2 linked regions of the Sus scrofa genome follow. The protein of the gene in region 1 interacts with the protein of each later gene in a pairwise test. Links are inferred from orthologs where the notes say so. Each region holds a gene or a part of one and is shown on either strand. Other genes may lie near its edges.

Evidence for each region.
Region 2: the proteins of REL (region 1) and CEP19 interact in binary tests that used the Homo sapiens proteins (3 or more experiments, as listed by UniProt). The two-hybrid records come from large-scale screens. The link is inferred for Sus scrofa from reciprocal best matches to the Homo sapiens genes REL and CEP19.

Annotation. Positions count from the first base shown.
Region 1 is NC_010445.4:80,897,050-80,904,923, forward strand, and holds part of REL (proto-oncogene c-Rel), read right to left. Parts: intron 4,742-7,874; coding exon 4,599-4,741; intron 2,264-4,598; coding exon 2,115-2,263; intron 1-2,114. UniProt on the Homo sapiens protein: Proto-oncogene that may play a role in differentiation and lymphopoiesis.
Region 2 is NC_010455.5:133,420,698-133,427,925, forward strand, and holds part of CEP19 (centrosomal protein of 19 kDa), read left to right. Parts: 5' UTR 1-5; coding exon 6-13; intron 14-3,468; exon of another isoform or gene 3,469-3,501; coding exon 3,502-3,668; intron 3,669-4,480; coding exon 4,481-4,842; 3' UTR 4,843-7,228. UniProt on the Homo sapiens protein: Required for ciliation. Recruits the RABL2B GTPase to the ciliary base to initiate ciliation.

The sequences.
Region 1 (7,874 bases):
AGACCACTGGCTTCAGCTCCAATTGGACCCCTAGCTTGGGAACCTCCATATGCCACAGGAGTGGCCCTAAAAAACAAACAAACAAACAAAAAAGAATATTTTCTAAAGGTTACTAAAATATTTTCTAAATAGAATTTAAGGAGGCTACTAATTTTTTCCTGTTGAAATGTTTCATTTTTCCTCCAAGGCAATACAAGTTCATTATAAAAAATGAATTATAAAGTAAACACCAGTTAAGAGAACATAAAACCTCACAATTCTTCTACCCAGGGACCAACTACTATCGACATCTTAGTGTTTATACTACCATGAATATGTACACTTTTTTCCCAGGCTAGGGATCAAATCTGAGCTGCAGCTGCTGCCCACAGCCACAGCAACTCAGGATCCAAGCCACATCTGTGACCTACACCACAGTTCTCGGCAACACCGGATCCTTAACCCATTGAGCGAGGCCAGGGACCTAACCTGTGTCCTCATGTATACTGGTTGGGTTCGTTTCTGCTGCGCCACAACAGGAACTCTTGCAATATTATTTTTAAGGCTAAATAGGAATACACTGTATGGATGTGCCAGTTTTATTTAACCAATCCCTTTCTGTTTATTATTTGGCTTTCCTCTTTTTGCCATTACAAAGCCTCAATGAACATCATTATAGCTATATGTCTGAACATGCTTAATTAGAAATTATTTCCTCAGGGAGTTCCTGCTGTGGCTCAGCACAAACACACCGACTAGTATCCATGAGGATGTGGGTTCCATTCCTGACCTTGCTCGGCAGGTTAACGATCCAGCATTTTGCTGTGATCTGTGGTGTAGGTCTCAAATGTGGCTTGGATCTGGCATTGCTCTGGCTGTGGCATAGGCCAGCAGCTGCAGTTCTGATTCAACCCCTAGCTTGAGAACTTCCATTTGCCGCACCTGCGGCCCTATTAAAAAAGAAAGAAAGAAAGAAAAAAGAAGTAATTAGTTCCTCAGGAAAAATTCCTAGAAGCAGAATTGCTAGTTCAAGACACTTCATATTTTTCAGGCTTTTGCTGTGTAATTGTTAAAATGCCTACTAGAAAGATTTTATTAATTTACATTCTCACCAATAGGATGAACAGACCCATCCAGCAGTCTCGCCAACACAAAGTGTTATACAATTTTTAAAATCCTAGAACTGTTTTAATTTTATAAGTGCTCTTTTCAAATAATAATTACAGTTTTCCGGTTGATTTTCTCATATCTGGCAATTTTTTCCTCTTTTTTTTTTTTTTAGGGCCACACCTGCAGCAACCAGGCTAGGGGATGAATCGGAGCTGTAGCTGTCAGCCTATGCCACAGCCAGAGCAATGCTAGATCCAAGCTGTGTCTGCAACCTATACCACAGCTTGTACCAACATGAGATCCTTAACCCACTGAGCAAGGCCAGGGATCAAACCTGCCTCCTCATGGATACTAGCTGGATTCTTAACCCAATGGACCACAATGGGAACGCCGTATCTGGCAATTTTTAAGTTAACTATTACTGAAAAGACATAGCAAAAATTTATAAAAGAATGTCTTTCATGGAGTTCCTGTCATGGCTGAGCAAAACGAATCTGACTAGCATCCATGAGGATGCAGGTTCGATCCCTGGCCCTGTTCAGTGGGTTAAGGATCCGGCGTTGCCGTGAGCTGTGGTGTAGGTTGTAGATGTGGCTCAGACCCTTTGTTGCTGTGGCTGTGGTGTAAGGCCAGCGACTATAGCTCCAATTCGACCCCTAGTCTGGGAACCTCCATATGCTGCAGGTGCAGCCTTAAAAAGACTAAAATAAATAAATAAATAAAAAAGAGTATCTTTAATAAATTGCTCAGACTAAGAAAGAAAACTGCAGCATAAAATAAGTTTATGTTTGCTTTTAGTAACAATAAAGAAGTATACCTGCTACCATCATGGGCCACATCTACTAAAAAAGGAGGAAAGGGTAGTTCTTATAAATGATAAGAAAATTTAAATGTATACTATAGTAAATAGAAGGACAATGAGGAATCAGTTTATTCCGCTAGAAAATAACAGATGTACATGGGTAGGAAACAAGAGCATCCTATGTTTATCCTATTCCTGAAAATGTTTGTGACTGTGTACTTACCACAAAGGTCTGCGTTCTTGTCCAAATTCTGCTTCATAGTAGCCATCTCTGCAGTCTTTTCCTACTAAATCATGAGGATGTGGTTTATATGGGTCATTCTTTGTTACTAATGTAATTCTCACTTTTCCTTTTCCAAAATAGTTCTTAATCTGAAAAGGAGGGAAATCAGATATATGATCCATACATACATCTCATTAAGAACTGATCTACTAAATGAGGGTTCAATTTATATACATTAGTTAGCATTGGATAAATAAAAGTCCAAATGATTATCAAGTGCAGTTTGGAAGAAACTTTGCAGAGAATACCAGTAGAGAAGAATTTACCACTCAGTTTCTTGGCATATTATTCTGTGTCCTAATTTTAATCGGTCATATCACCTCATTCTGCTTATTTTCCTTCTTTTGGGGGAGGGGTCTTTTTTAGGCCTGCATCCATGGCACATGAAGTTCCCAGGCTAGGGGGTCACATCATAGCCATGGCCGCTGGCCTACACCATAGCCACAGCAATGCCAGTCTGAGTCGTGTCTGCGACCTACACCACAGCTCAGGGCAATGCCGGATCCTCAACCCACTGAGCGAGGCCAGGGATTGAACCCGCAACCTCATGGTTCCTAGTCAGATTCGTTTCTGCTGCGTCACAACAGGAACTCCACTAGTCAGGTTCTTTATCTGCTGAGCCGCAATAGGAACTCCCTTATTTTCCTTTTATTTTTTTAAATTAATTATTTATTTATTTATTTTGTCTTTTTGCTATTTTTCGGGCCACTCCCGCGGCATATGGAGGTTCCGAGGCTAGGGGTCTCATCGAAGCTGTAGCCGCCGGCCTATGCCAGAGCCACAGCAATGCGGGATCTGAGCTGTGTCTGCAACCTACACCACAGCTCACGGCAACGCCGGATCGTTAACCCACTGAGCAAGGGTAGGGATCGAACCCACAACCTCATGGTTCCTAGTCGGATTCATTAACCACTGCGCCACGACGGGAACTCCATTTTCCTTTTAAAACAAGTAAAATTATACCAAAATATTATCATGGAGCATGAGGAAATACTAAGATGTTGAGTCACTGAATGCAATGCTCTTATATTCACTGTCATACCATAAACATCCCTTGAATGTATATATTTAAGCCACAATGGAACACATTTAAGCCACCATTATGGTCAAGTATGGTTGTTACTTAATACATGACATTTCATTTCACAAAAATATCTTTTTTTTTTTTTAAATCAGAAAGTGTATCCCAAGTATTCACTGTACCATAGGCAACAAATTAGGCTGTTTTGCAAAATTAAGTTTTCACATAGTAAGTAGATCTATGACACTGAGAATGAAGAGTTAAACATGGGAGAGGAAGGAGGACTCTACACAATGTAGGGAGGAGTTTATCTTTATTCTGGAAGATGGAAAATTTGCAAGCACAAAGCAAGGAATATAAAAACCAGCAAACAAGGGAGCGAGGCAGCTGGGTAAGAATGGGTGGCTTCATAGATAAGTGGGCATTAAAATCTATAATTCTGAATTTAAACCTAATTTGAACAGTAATCAGAAAGTATTTATTGCCTTTCTGAATAAAAGACAAGGTAACGACTTAAAAGTGTAAGGTAGGCTCAAGTGGAACTCAAGCTGCAAAGTTGTTTAGAAACTACTGGAATGGTAAGGATAAAGATCTTAGAAATGGTTAAGAGAATGTACAGAATAAGCTGAATTATGGAGAAGAGTTAAAAATCACTCTTAAAGGAGTAGAAGATTAGCTTTTTTTTTTTTTTTTTTCCTAGAGCCACACATGAGGCATATGGAAGTTTCCAGGCTAGGGGTCTAATGAAATGTAGTATATAAACATAAAATATAAATGTAGTATTTCTATAAATATAGTACATTAACAAAGTCATTTTGGATCAAAAACTACTTTCAAAATTTATGTTAATATGAAAAAACTATATTTAAAAAGTGACAATATTTCAAATCAGTCAATGCAATCCAAAGTATCAGGGATAGGCAATAAACGTAAAGAGGAAAAAAGGCAAAAATGCTCTTTTTTCCATAGCCCCTAGATTAGCCAAGTGATTGCAGGAAGAATTCCGAATTTCCAAATACAGGTTTTTAATCTCCAGAACAATCTTGCTCACCACTGGAAGGAAAGAATGCTTTTTCCTCATTAGCTTTTTGTTCCATTAAAGGTGTTGTCATCCAAAAGTTGCCGATGTACTCTAAGCACTGGGAATCACTCTACACAGATTAACACTCAATATATAACAATCTGCAGGGATGAAGACTCTATACTTTATTTAAGAAATGTGCCTAGAGATCTATGCAGTATGGATCAATTACAAAGAAAAAAAGGAGGAAAAGCTGGTGACGATCACTGTGATGAAGCTGGGTCTTTAATGTAACTGCTGTAGTGAAAACATGATGCAGCTGACACACACACACACACACACACACACACACACACACACGCAGAGGAGAACGATCTGTTACCTGGATAGACGGGTATGTTCGGCTGCTGTCTGTGCTGTGCTCCCCTGGAATGCTGCCTGCTGATCGCCCTTCACATTTGTATCTAAAACGCATTCCCCTCTGTCTGGGTTGTTCCGTAATCTCTATATATGGGTTATACCCACCTAAAAATTTTAAAAGGGAGGAGGGTGAGATTATGATAGAATTAATAATGGATCTTTAACCATCTTGTTTTTTCCAAAAGAGTAGGCTAAAAATTTTCCCCTCTCAATATTAAATGACAAAGTTGAAATGTAATTATTCAAGACTGGGTGGATAATTTATTTGATTTTCTCTCTCATTCGAGTTCCCATACAGTGTAAACACAAGCCATTCAAATCATATTTACTGCTGAGCACTTTATCGTTTAATATCTCTAACTAATGCCAGTGTGAAGTTCTGCGATAACCACTTCAAATATCCACTTCTCACCTGAGACCAAGCAGAAGGGTTTTCCCCAGAATTTTCCCAGAAGGGTCAAGAAGACAGTCTTCAGAAGTGCAATATTATACTCCAAAAAAGACTTTGCCTGACTTTACATTAGATTTATCTTAACAGTGGACTAAAAGACTGTTCATTGAAAATGAAAATGTGGAGTTCCCATCGTGGCGCAGTGGAAACGAATCCGACTAGGAACCATGAGGGTGCGGGTTCGACCCCTGGCCTTGCTCAGTGGGTTAAGGATCTGGCGTTGCCGTGAGCTGTGGTGTAGGTCGCAGATGCAGCTCGGATCCCGAGTGGCTGTGGTTGTGGTGTAGGCGGGCAGCTACAGCCCTGATTAGACCCCTAGCCTGGGAACCTCCATATGCCGCAGGTGTGGCCCTAAAAAGCAAAACAAAACAAATGAACAAACAAACAAAAAAAAAAAAGAAAATGAAAATGTATTTACTTTCTTACAGAAGGAAATGTTATGTTTTTTATATCTCTATGTAAAGGACTTACACATAGTAAAACAAAACAAGTTCCAGAAGGAACTTTAGGCTCAAAAGAATTTTCAATCAGTCCCATCTAAAGAATAAGACACAACAGAGGAAAATAAAATAATTATTTACTTTCTATAACAAATACAATTCAAAATACGGCACCTTTAGAATGAACTAATGATACACACAACATGGATGAATCTCAAAATAAATATGCTAAATGAAAGAAGCCAGACCAAAAGAGCATATATTGGATGATTCCATTCACGTAAAACTCTAGAATATATAAACTAATCTGTAATGAAGAAAACAGATGACTGGTTGCCTAAGAATAGGGGTCTGGAGTGATGAGGAACTTTGGAGGATGGTGAACGTATTAGTTATCTTGATTGTGGTGATAAGTATGTCAAAAGTTATCAAATTGCATACTTTTTTTTTTTTTTTTCCTTTTTCGGCTACACCTGTGGCATATGGAAGTTCCCAGGCCAGGGATCGAATCTGAGCCACAGCTGTGACCTAAGTACACCATACCACAGCTGCAGCAATATTAGATCCTTAACCCACTGTGCTGGGATGGGGATTGATCCTGCACCATTACAGAGAAAATGCTGGATCTTTAACACGCTGCACCACAGCAGGAAATCCTCAAATTGCATACTTTAAACATATGCAATTTATTTTACATTACTTATATGTCAATAAAGCTGTCTAAAACATATGCACCTTTATCTCCCTTACTATCTAAATCATGGAAATTCCAGTTCAATAAAGACACTCAAGTGTGCTTACAAGTGGGGTACCTAGCAACGTGTCTTTATTTCAGGGCTGTAAAGATGTCTTCCACTAAAACCAAACAAAAAACCCTTCCTTGATCAATTTAGTGATTTCTAAATTCCCACAATTAGATATGCACTTCTTTGACAAAAGGTTTATCCTTTGTTAGGATGCAAGCAAATCTTCAGAAAGGGTAACACAGTGGGTCTTATCAGTGTAGTAAAAGGAATAGGCCTTTTGAGTCCTACCCAGCCACATCTTAACATTGAAGACCCAGGAAGTATTATAGCTCTTAAGATTCCCACACTGTAAAATGGGGATAATAATACAATAGCACCTACCACACAAGGTTGTTGCAAAGATTGAAGATAACAAGTATTAAGTTCTTACCAGCTGCCAGGAATACAATGACTAGTCAATAAATGGTCTACTATTATTTCAGATGCTTTCTTGAAAACAACGATTTATAGTAATGCTATGATTGTATAACAACAGTTATTTTCATGGATTTTATAGAACAATGAAGCAAATAACACAATTATTAGACTACATAGAAGGAATAAAATGTTGTTTATGCTAACAAAATTCTGCATAAAATCACAGGAAGAGCAAAACAGTTAGGAATGCCTACCTACGTCAAAAGGAAAAGAAAAAGTTACTGAAGCAAAAGGGTGGGGAGAAAGGAGGGAAAAAGGAGAAAAACAGACATTCTAGGGCAAGGGAAGAGTGCATCCAAAGGTGTCCTGGCACAGGAGAAGAGAGCTGAAGAATCACAACACAGCCCCGGGGGGCTGTAAGGAAAGTGTGCAGTATACTTCTACCTTTCAAAAGAAAGTCACAAGTCAGAGAGTCTATTTGGGGATTTGGAGTTCATTTCTATGGCTGACAGGGAATCAATGGTGGGTTTTATGCAGGCAAGTCACATGATCGGCTTGACAGCTTAGAGTAAGAATTCTGGTGGCAGTGGACAGATTAAAAATAAAAGAGAAAAAAGCAAGACGAACGGTTTAGAGGCTGTTACAGTAACAAGGATTAGGGTATGTCTGAAATTTGGTAATGATAACAGGAATGAAGGATTACTTAAAAGATAAAACTGACAGTCCTCGGTGACTGAATATTAGGGTTAAGCGAAAGTAAAGAATCATGGATAGTTCCATACTTTCTACTTTGGGTTAATAAGTATTATTGGTATCTTTAATTTTATTCTGTTTGGTTTAAACTCCTTGTGCTTGAATTTATTATCTATTTATCTGTGCATTCGAAAGACAAAAATGCAAGGGAAAAACTGACTTTACCCTAATCAAGTTCACAATGCTTATTTCAATTTTATTGAAAAATATAAGGCATGCAGATGAGTATCTCAATTTCACATCCTTATATATCCTTGTATATTTCAAATAATCAAATTCACTTTCAAATATTTCACATCCTTATATATCCTTGCAGGAATATTTAAAAGAAAGTACACAGGCCAGTGGATACAGCTCCAATTTGACCCCTAGCCTAGAACCTCTATATGCTGTGGGTACGGCCCTAAAGAGATTGAAAAAAGAAAAAAAGA
Region 2 (7,228 bases), on another chromosome or scaffold:
TCTCTATGGGTAGGTAAGAACATCAGCCTTGCCCTAATGGGGACGTGGGTAGAAAGAGGGTCGTCTACCTGATGGCAAAACCCGTACACTTTTAAGTTAAGATTTTGCCCGTCATTGATCCCTGGAGAAAGGGATTAATGTCCAGGAAGAAGAGCTGAGTAAATATGTCCTTTGTCTTATGGATTAAATCTATAAGCAAAGTAGAGAGTATCCAATGCAGATTGGAGCAGAACAGAGAGCTCTAGGACAGATGTCTTAAAGAGGGAAAAGATGTCAGAAGATATTACCTACAACTGAAAATAGCAGTGTAAGCATGCTGTTAAGAAATATGGAGATAAATTTTGGAAGAAACGCTTAAAAGAATTGAAACTATTTTCCTATTGGAGAGGGGAAGGGCAGAGGACCACAGTTTTTTATTATACGCCTTATGGAATTATATTACGTTTAAACAGAATACTAACATTACTTAGTAAAAATAAAAGTTTAATTGTAAAAAGAAAAGAGTATAGTCAAAAAACTACATTACTGAATATCATGTGAATACATCTTTTTTTTTTTTTTTTTGTCCTTTTAGGGCTGCACCCTCGGCATATGGAGGTTCCCAGGGTAGGGGTCCAGTCGGAGCTACAGCTGCTGGCCTACTCCACAGCCACAGCAACTCAGGATCTGCGAACTTCAGCATAGCTCAGGGCAACACCATACCCTCAACCCACTGAATAAGGCCATGGATTGAACAACATCCTCATGGATACTAGTCAGATTTGTTTCTGCTGTGCTACAACAGGAACTCCCATCATTTATTAACATAGCTACTTGCTTGAGTGTGTGGAATTTATATTGTGCTCAGTAGGATCTCCCAGAAAATTTACTAACAGAACAGATTTTAGTGAGGTGAACTGGGAGTAGTATTTGTTTAAAAGAAGAAGAGGAGTTCCCATCGTGGCACAGTGGAAACGAATCCGACTAGGAACCATGAGGTTGTGGGTTTGATCCCTGGCCTCGCTCAGTGGGTTAAGGATCCAGCATTGCGGTGAACTGTGGTGTAGGTTGCAGACGTGGCTCGAATCTGGGGTTGCTGTGGCTATGGTGTAGGCTGGCAGCAACAGCTCCGATTAGACCCCCTAGCCTGGAAACCTCCATTGTGCTGTGGATGCCCTAAAAAGACAAAAGACAAAAAAAAAAAGAAGAAGAAGAAGAAAGAAGGGATGGAGTGGGATCATTGTGTCAGATCAGAGGCAGAGCTCAATAATTTGAAAAAGCAGTTTTTTATATATGATCCATTTCCTAAGAGTGAAAATTCTTTTTTTTAAATGATTTTTTATTTTTTCCATTATAGCTGGTTTATAGTGTTCTGTCAATTTTATTTCTTTCTTTTTTTTTTTTTTTCTTTTTGTCCTTTCTAGGGCCGAGACAGCATATGGAGGTTCCAAGGCTAGGGGTCTAATCCGAGCTGTAGCCGCTGGCCTATGCCACAACCACAGCAACTCTGGATCCAAGCCGTGTCTGCAACCTACACCAGAGCTCACTGCAACGCTGGATCGTTAACCCACTGAGCAAGGGCAGGGACCGAACCCAAAACCTCATGATTCTAGTCGGATTTGTTTCCGCTGTGCCATGATGGGAACTATACAACAAAGTGATGCAGTCACACCTACATATACACATTCTTTTTCTCACATTATCCTCCATCAAGCTCCATCATAAGTGACTAGATATAATTCCCAGTGCTATACAGCAGGATCTCATTGCTGATCCATTCCAAAGGCAATAGTTTGCATCTATGAATCCCAGATTCCCAGTCCATCCCACTCCTTCCCCCTCCCCTTCCCCCTCAGCAACCACAAGTCTGTTCTCCAAGTCCATGAATTTCTTTTCTGTGGAAAGGTTCATTTGTGCCATATATTAGATTCCGGATATAAGTGATATCATATGGTATTTGTCTTCCTCTTTCTGACCCTAAGAGTAAAAATTCTCATGACCAATAGTAAGGGGTGAATGATAGAGATTATGGTATATCCATAGGACAAAACATCTGCAGTCATAAAAATTTGCATTTTAGAAAGACATTTAATGACAAAATTACATAAGCTGTTAAATTTAAATGGCAGGAAATAGGTATAATATAAAAAACATATTGTAGCTAAATACACACACACGCACAACTATGCCTAGAAAAAAGACTGGAAGGAATCAGGGTGATTATTTTATATGTTCCTTCCCCTTCCCCACTCCTGCCCCAGTTTCCTACAATGAACAGGTATTAAATAACTATGTTCCTGTAGTAATTCTCTAATAGAACTGAATTTGAAGATATCATCCCTGTGCTGCTTTACCTCTAGGTTCTTTGACATTTGCAGATCTTCCTGAGACTATCATGGTCACATCTAAAGCAGTTCCTAAAATTAAGTATATATGGGCATTGAAAGCAGGGAAGGAAAGAGGGAATGGAATGTATTAACCTTTAAAATGGCTGTTTCTTATAACTAAGAAAACATCGTGTAATGAGAAAAATAAGTTGACATAAAAGCCATGTAAGCTTCATTCCCTTGTACATGTGCTAATTCTGCATCAAGTCTGCTTTTTTGATCAGGCTTCTAGACTGTTAACACTTAGAGGATGTACAGGCTGTGTCTTACATTATATATTGAATTAAAGAATGGATTGCTTACTGTAGTCCAGGCATTGTGCTGAGCATATTGTGGTGAACAATGGATATGTCCCCTAAACATATAGAGCATATAGAATAGAAGGAAAAGATAAGTGAATAAATAAGTTACCAGAGTTCCCATCATGGCTTAGTGGAAATGAATCTGACTAGCATCCATAAGGACGCGGCTTCCATCCCTGGCCTTGCTCAGTGGGTTAAGGATCGGTGTTGCCGTGAGCTATGGTGTAGGTCGCAGATGCGGCTCAGATCTGGCGTGACTGTGGCTGTGGTGTAGGCCAACAGCAACAGCTCCCATTCAACCCCTAGCCTGGGAACCTCCATATGCCGCAGGTGCAGCCCTAAGAAGACAAAAAAAAAAAAAAAGTTACCAAAACTCAATGAGTTTTAGAATGACGGGGAAAGGACAAAGGAGACAGGTCTGGTCTGGTGAACCTCTCAGGACATAATGTATAAGATTGACATAGAGGCTGCTTGTACATACATGTTTAATTGGTAAATGAAAAAGATTCTATAAACTGATTCTTGGGTTCATACATAATTATGGGTTAAAAATACACTAAAAGATCCAAACTGAACTGCCTTTCTAGGCTCATGTGTGAACAAACCTACACCCTTCAGTGAACCGGGGATTCTACAGACTAAGAATAACCCGGAGCCAAACTGAACTTTCAAGGTATCTCTTGAAGTACTGAGCTTGAGCTGAGCAGGCATCTCTAGAACTGGACAAGAGTCAGATCTGCTGGGGAGGAAGAATAAGGGGGAGTGGGATTTATCCAACACTTATTTTTTTTCCGTTTTAGCAGGAAGTCATTATGTGACTAATACGTTTTCAGCAGATTTCCTCTGATTTACCCTGAAGTGTATGTGAGGATGATGTGCACTGCCAAGAAATGTGGAATTAGGTTCCAGCCTCCGGCTATTATCTTAATCTATGAGAATGAAATGAAGGGGAAAAGTCGCCAGCGCATTATGCCAGTCCGAAACTTTTCCAAGTTTTCAGGTACCTTATGTTTTATCTTGACTCCTACCTTAAATATTCCCTGAGTCACTTTATAAGAATGATTTGAGTCTTCTGTAGTGGAGCAGCATGGCTTTCAGAGTTAGACAGACCAAGGTTCAAGTCGTGATGTCGGGGTAGGTGTGTGACCTCCACTAAATTAGTTACTCTTGGTAAACATCAGTTTCCTAATCTGTAAAAGGAAATTGAGAATCCCACCCTTTCAGATCTGCAATGTGGGTTAACTGAGATGGCAATATTCAATAGTATGAATTCCCTTCTCTTCCTCAAAGGTGTTTTTTATTTGTAGTCTTGATATTTTCTTAGTACTTGTACAACTATCTCCAGCTGTACTACTGCTTTTTCTTCTTAGGTGTTTTCTCTAGTTAAAAGTATTGAATGTCTCCTCAAAATGATTTTTTTTTAAATTTTGTACTAAAATATAGTTGACTTACAATATTGTGCCAATTTCTGCTGTGCAGCAAAGTGACTCAGTTATACATATATATACATTCTTTTTTGTATTCTTCTCCATCGTGGTCTATTCCAAGAGACTGGATATAGTTCCCTGCACTATACAATAGGACCTTGTTGTCTTCAAAGTGCGTTTAAGCTATGGAAATAAAAAAATACATCCCTCCTTCCCCCACCACATTCAAAGCTCAGTATAAAGAAATAGTTCTATAAAATAATTCATTCCCCAAAAGCCACTTAGCTACTGGACTGTAATGGCAGGTAATGCTTGCAGTAGTTTGTGATGCCTCAGTAGTTTGTGGTGTTGTATGTGGTATAATGGTTTTTTGTCTCCTTCCTAGATTGCAGCAGAGCTGCTGAACAATTAAAAAATAATCCACGACATAAGGATTACCTGGAACAAGTATCCATGAGGCAGCTAGAGAAGTTATTCAGTTTTTTACGAGGTTACTTGTGGGGACAGAGTTTGGCAGAAACAATGGAGCAAATTCAACGGGAAACAACCATTGATCCTGAGGAAGACCTGAACAAACTAGATGACAAGGAACTTGCCAAAAGGAAGAGCATCATGGATGAACTTTTTGAGAAAAATCAGAAGAAGAAGGACGACCCAAATTTTGTTTATGACATTGAAGTAGAGTTCCCACAGGATGAACAACTACAGTCCTGTGGCTGGGACACAGAGTCAGCTGATGAATTCTGATACCCCACACTAGAAATAATAATAATAATGACAATTGGGTAGCAGAAAATCCATATTTATACAAAGAACATAGATTGGGTTTAGAAAAATCTGTAGAGAACACTATCCCTGTTGGGTTATGTTTTGATTGGCCAAGTTACTCTTCAAAACCAAGATATGCAGAACATCTACTATGTAGGTGCATGTGGAAGATAGAAAAAAAACAGAATATAGGACTCTGCCTTGAAGGAGCTTACAATCTAATTGGAAGTCAAAACCTTGTGAAAAGCTAATTATTGGTACTGGGCAGCAAAAATATTAGATCCAAGTGCTTGGTAAAGGCTAGAGAGGGTCAGAACCTAGATTATTAAAGGGTAGAACAGCCAGGGAAGACTTTGTCCTTTAGGGGTAAGGTGGCACTTTGCCTGGCCATGAAATGGCAGCATTTGGGTAGAAGCTTATATGGGATTCTATAGATTATATAGATTAGAGAAACCGGGAGGGAAAAAAAGGGGGGGAGAAGGGGGATCAGTAAAGAGATAGGAATTAGAACATTTTATTTGAGGAGCAGTAAGGAAATTATAGTTTGATAAGATCAGAGGGCATATATAGTTATCAGGGGATTATCCTGTCTGCATTGCTTCTATATGTGTTTAACTCTGGAGTAGAAGAGTACCCTGCAGAATGCCATGCACTTGCAAGTGGACGTAATTGGATGGACAGCAGGGGAGTTCTTCCCCCTCAGTATCAGGAAATATATGCTAAAGACATCCTGAAACCCTGGACCTTTTCCCATAAATAAGAGGTTTGTTTGTAAAATGGGAAATCTACCTGTAACAAATAAACATAGGTACTGCCAGTTTAGGCCTATTCATGAGTTTGTAACTACAAAGAGAAGATCTTTGTTGAACAAGGTTATATATGTACAAATATGTCTTTCTTCATAATAGAATATTATTTAGGAGTTCCTGTTGTGGCACAGCGGAAACGAATCTGATTAGGAACCATGAGGTTGCAGGTTCGATCCCTGGTCTCACTCAGTGGGTTAAGGATTCGGCGTTGCCATGAGCTGTCATGTAGTTTCCAGACATGGCTCAGATCTGGCGTGGCTGTGGCTGTGTCGTAGGCTGGCGGCTGTAGCTTTGATTAGACCCCTAACCTGGGAACCTCCATATGCTGCAGGTGTGGCCCTAAGAAAAAGAAAAAAAAAATTATTTAATTTGTAGAGATCTTTTCTGCAAGGAAATTACTAGTAAATTGCAGTTTCATTAAAACTGTAAAAGTTATTCATTCTTTCTACCTGTCCATCCCTACTCTCTTTACCATTAAAAGCCTCATTGAAGAAATCATTCTTATAATGATGTCACCAAGGACTTAAGATGGCCATGTCTCAAAGGTATATTTGCCAAAGGAAGCAAAAGAGTTTTTAGAACTGGAAACCCATAACTACACAGTGTTTCACGGTGTAGATATAGATGATAGATTTTAAGAGTTGACCTTAGGTTGTTTTCCCCTTTCACTGTTATAAACAATGCCACAGTAAATAATCTAGTACATTGCCTATTTTCCAGGACTATCAATGATGCCTGGAGGGGACTTGCTGGGTATGTGCATCCTGAAGTTTAATAAGTATTGTTAGATTGTCCTGCAAAGCGTTTCATTCATTCAGTAATGTACTTGCTGAGCCTGTACTGCTATGGAGTCTGGGGATCCAGCAGTATGTACAACAAAGCTTTTGCCTTTACAAGGTGTGCCTTTACAGAGTTTCCTTGTAAGGTCTACTTGGAGCAGAGAGATGACAAACATACATAGAATAACGTCATATGGGAGTTCCCATCGTGGCTCAGTGGTTAACAAATCTGGCTAGGAACCATGAGGTTGTGGGTTCGATCCTTGGCCTTGTTCAGCGGGTTAAGGATCCGGTGTTGCCACGAGCTGTGGTGTAGGTTGCAGACACGGCTTGGATCTGGCATTGCTGTGGCTGTTCCCTAGGCTGGGAACCTCCATATGCCATGGGAACGGCCCTAGAAAAAAAAAAAAAAATAATAACGTCATATGATAAGTGCTTAGAATTAAAAACAGGGTAAACGGAGTTCCCGTCATGGCGCAGTGGTTAACGAATCCAACTAGGAACCATGAGGTTGCGGGTTTGGTCCCTGCCCTTGCTCAGTGGGTTAACGATCCGGCGTTGCCGTGAGCTGTGGTGTAGGTTGTGGATGCGGCTCGGATCCCATGTTGCTGTGGCTCTGGTGTAGGCCAGGGGTGCCAGCTCTGATTGTACCCCTAGCCTTGGAACCTCCATATGCCGAGGGAGCGGCCCAAGGAATAGCAAAAAAGACAAAAAAAAAACCAAAACAAAACAGGGTAAAGGAGAATGGTGGTCTAGGCACCATTGTTTTTGATAGGG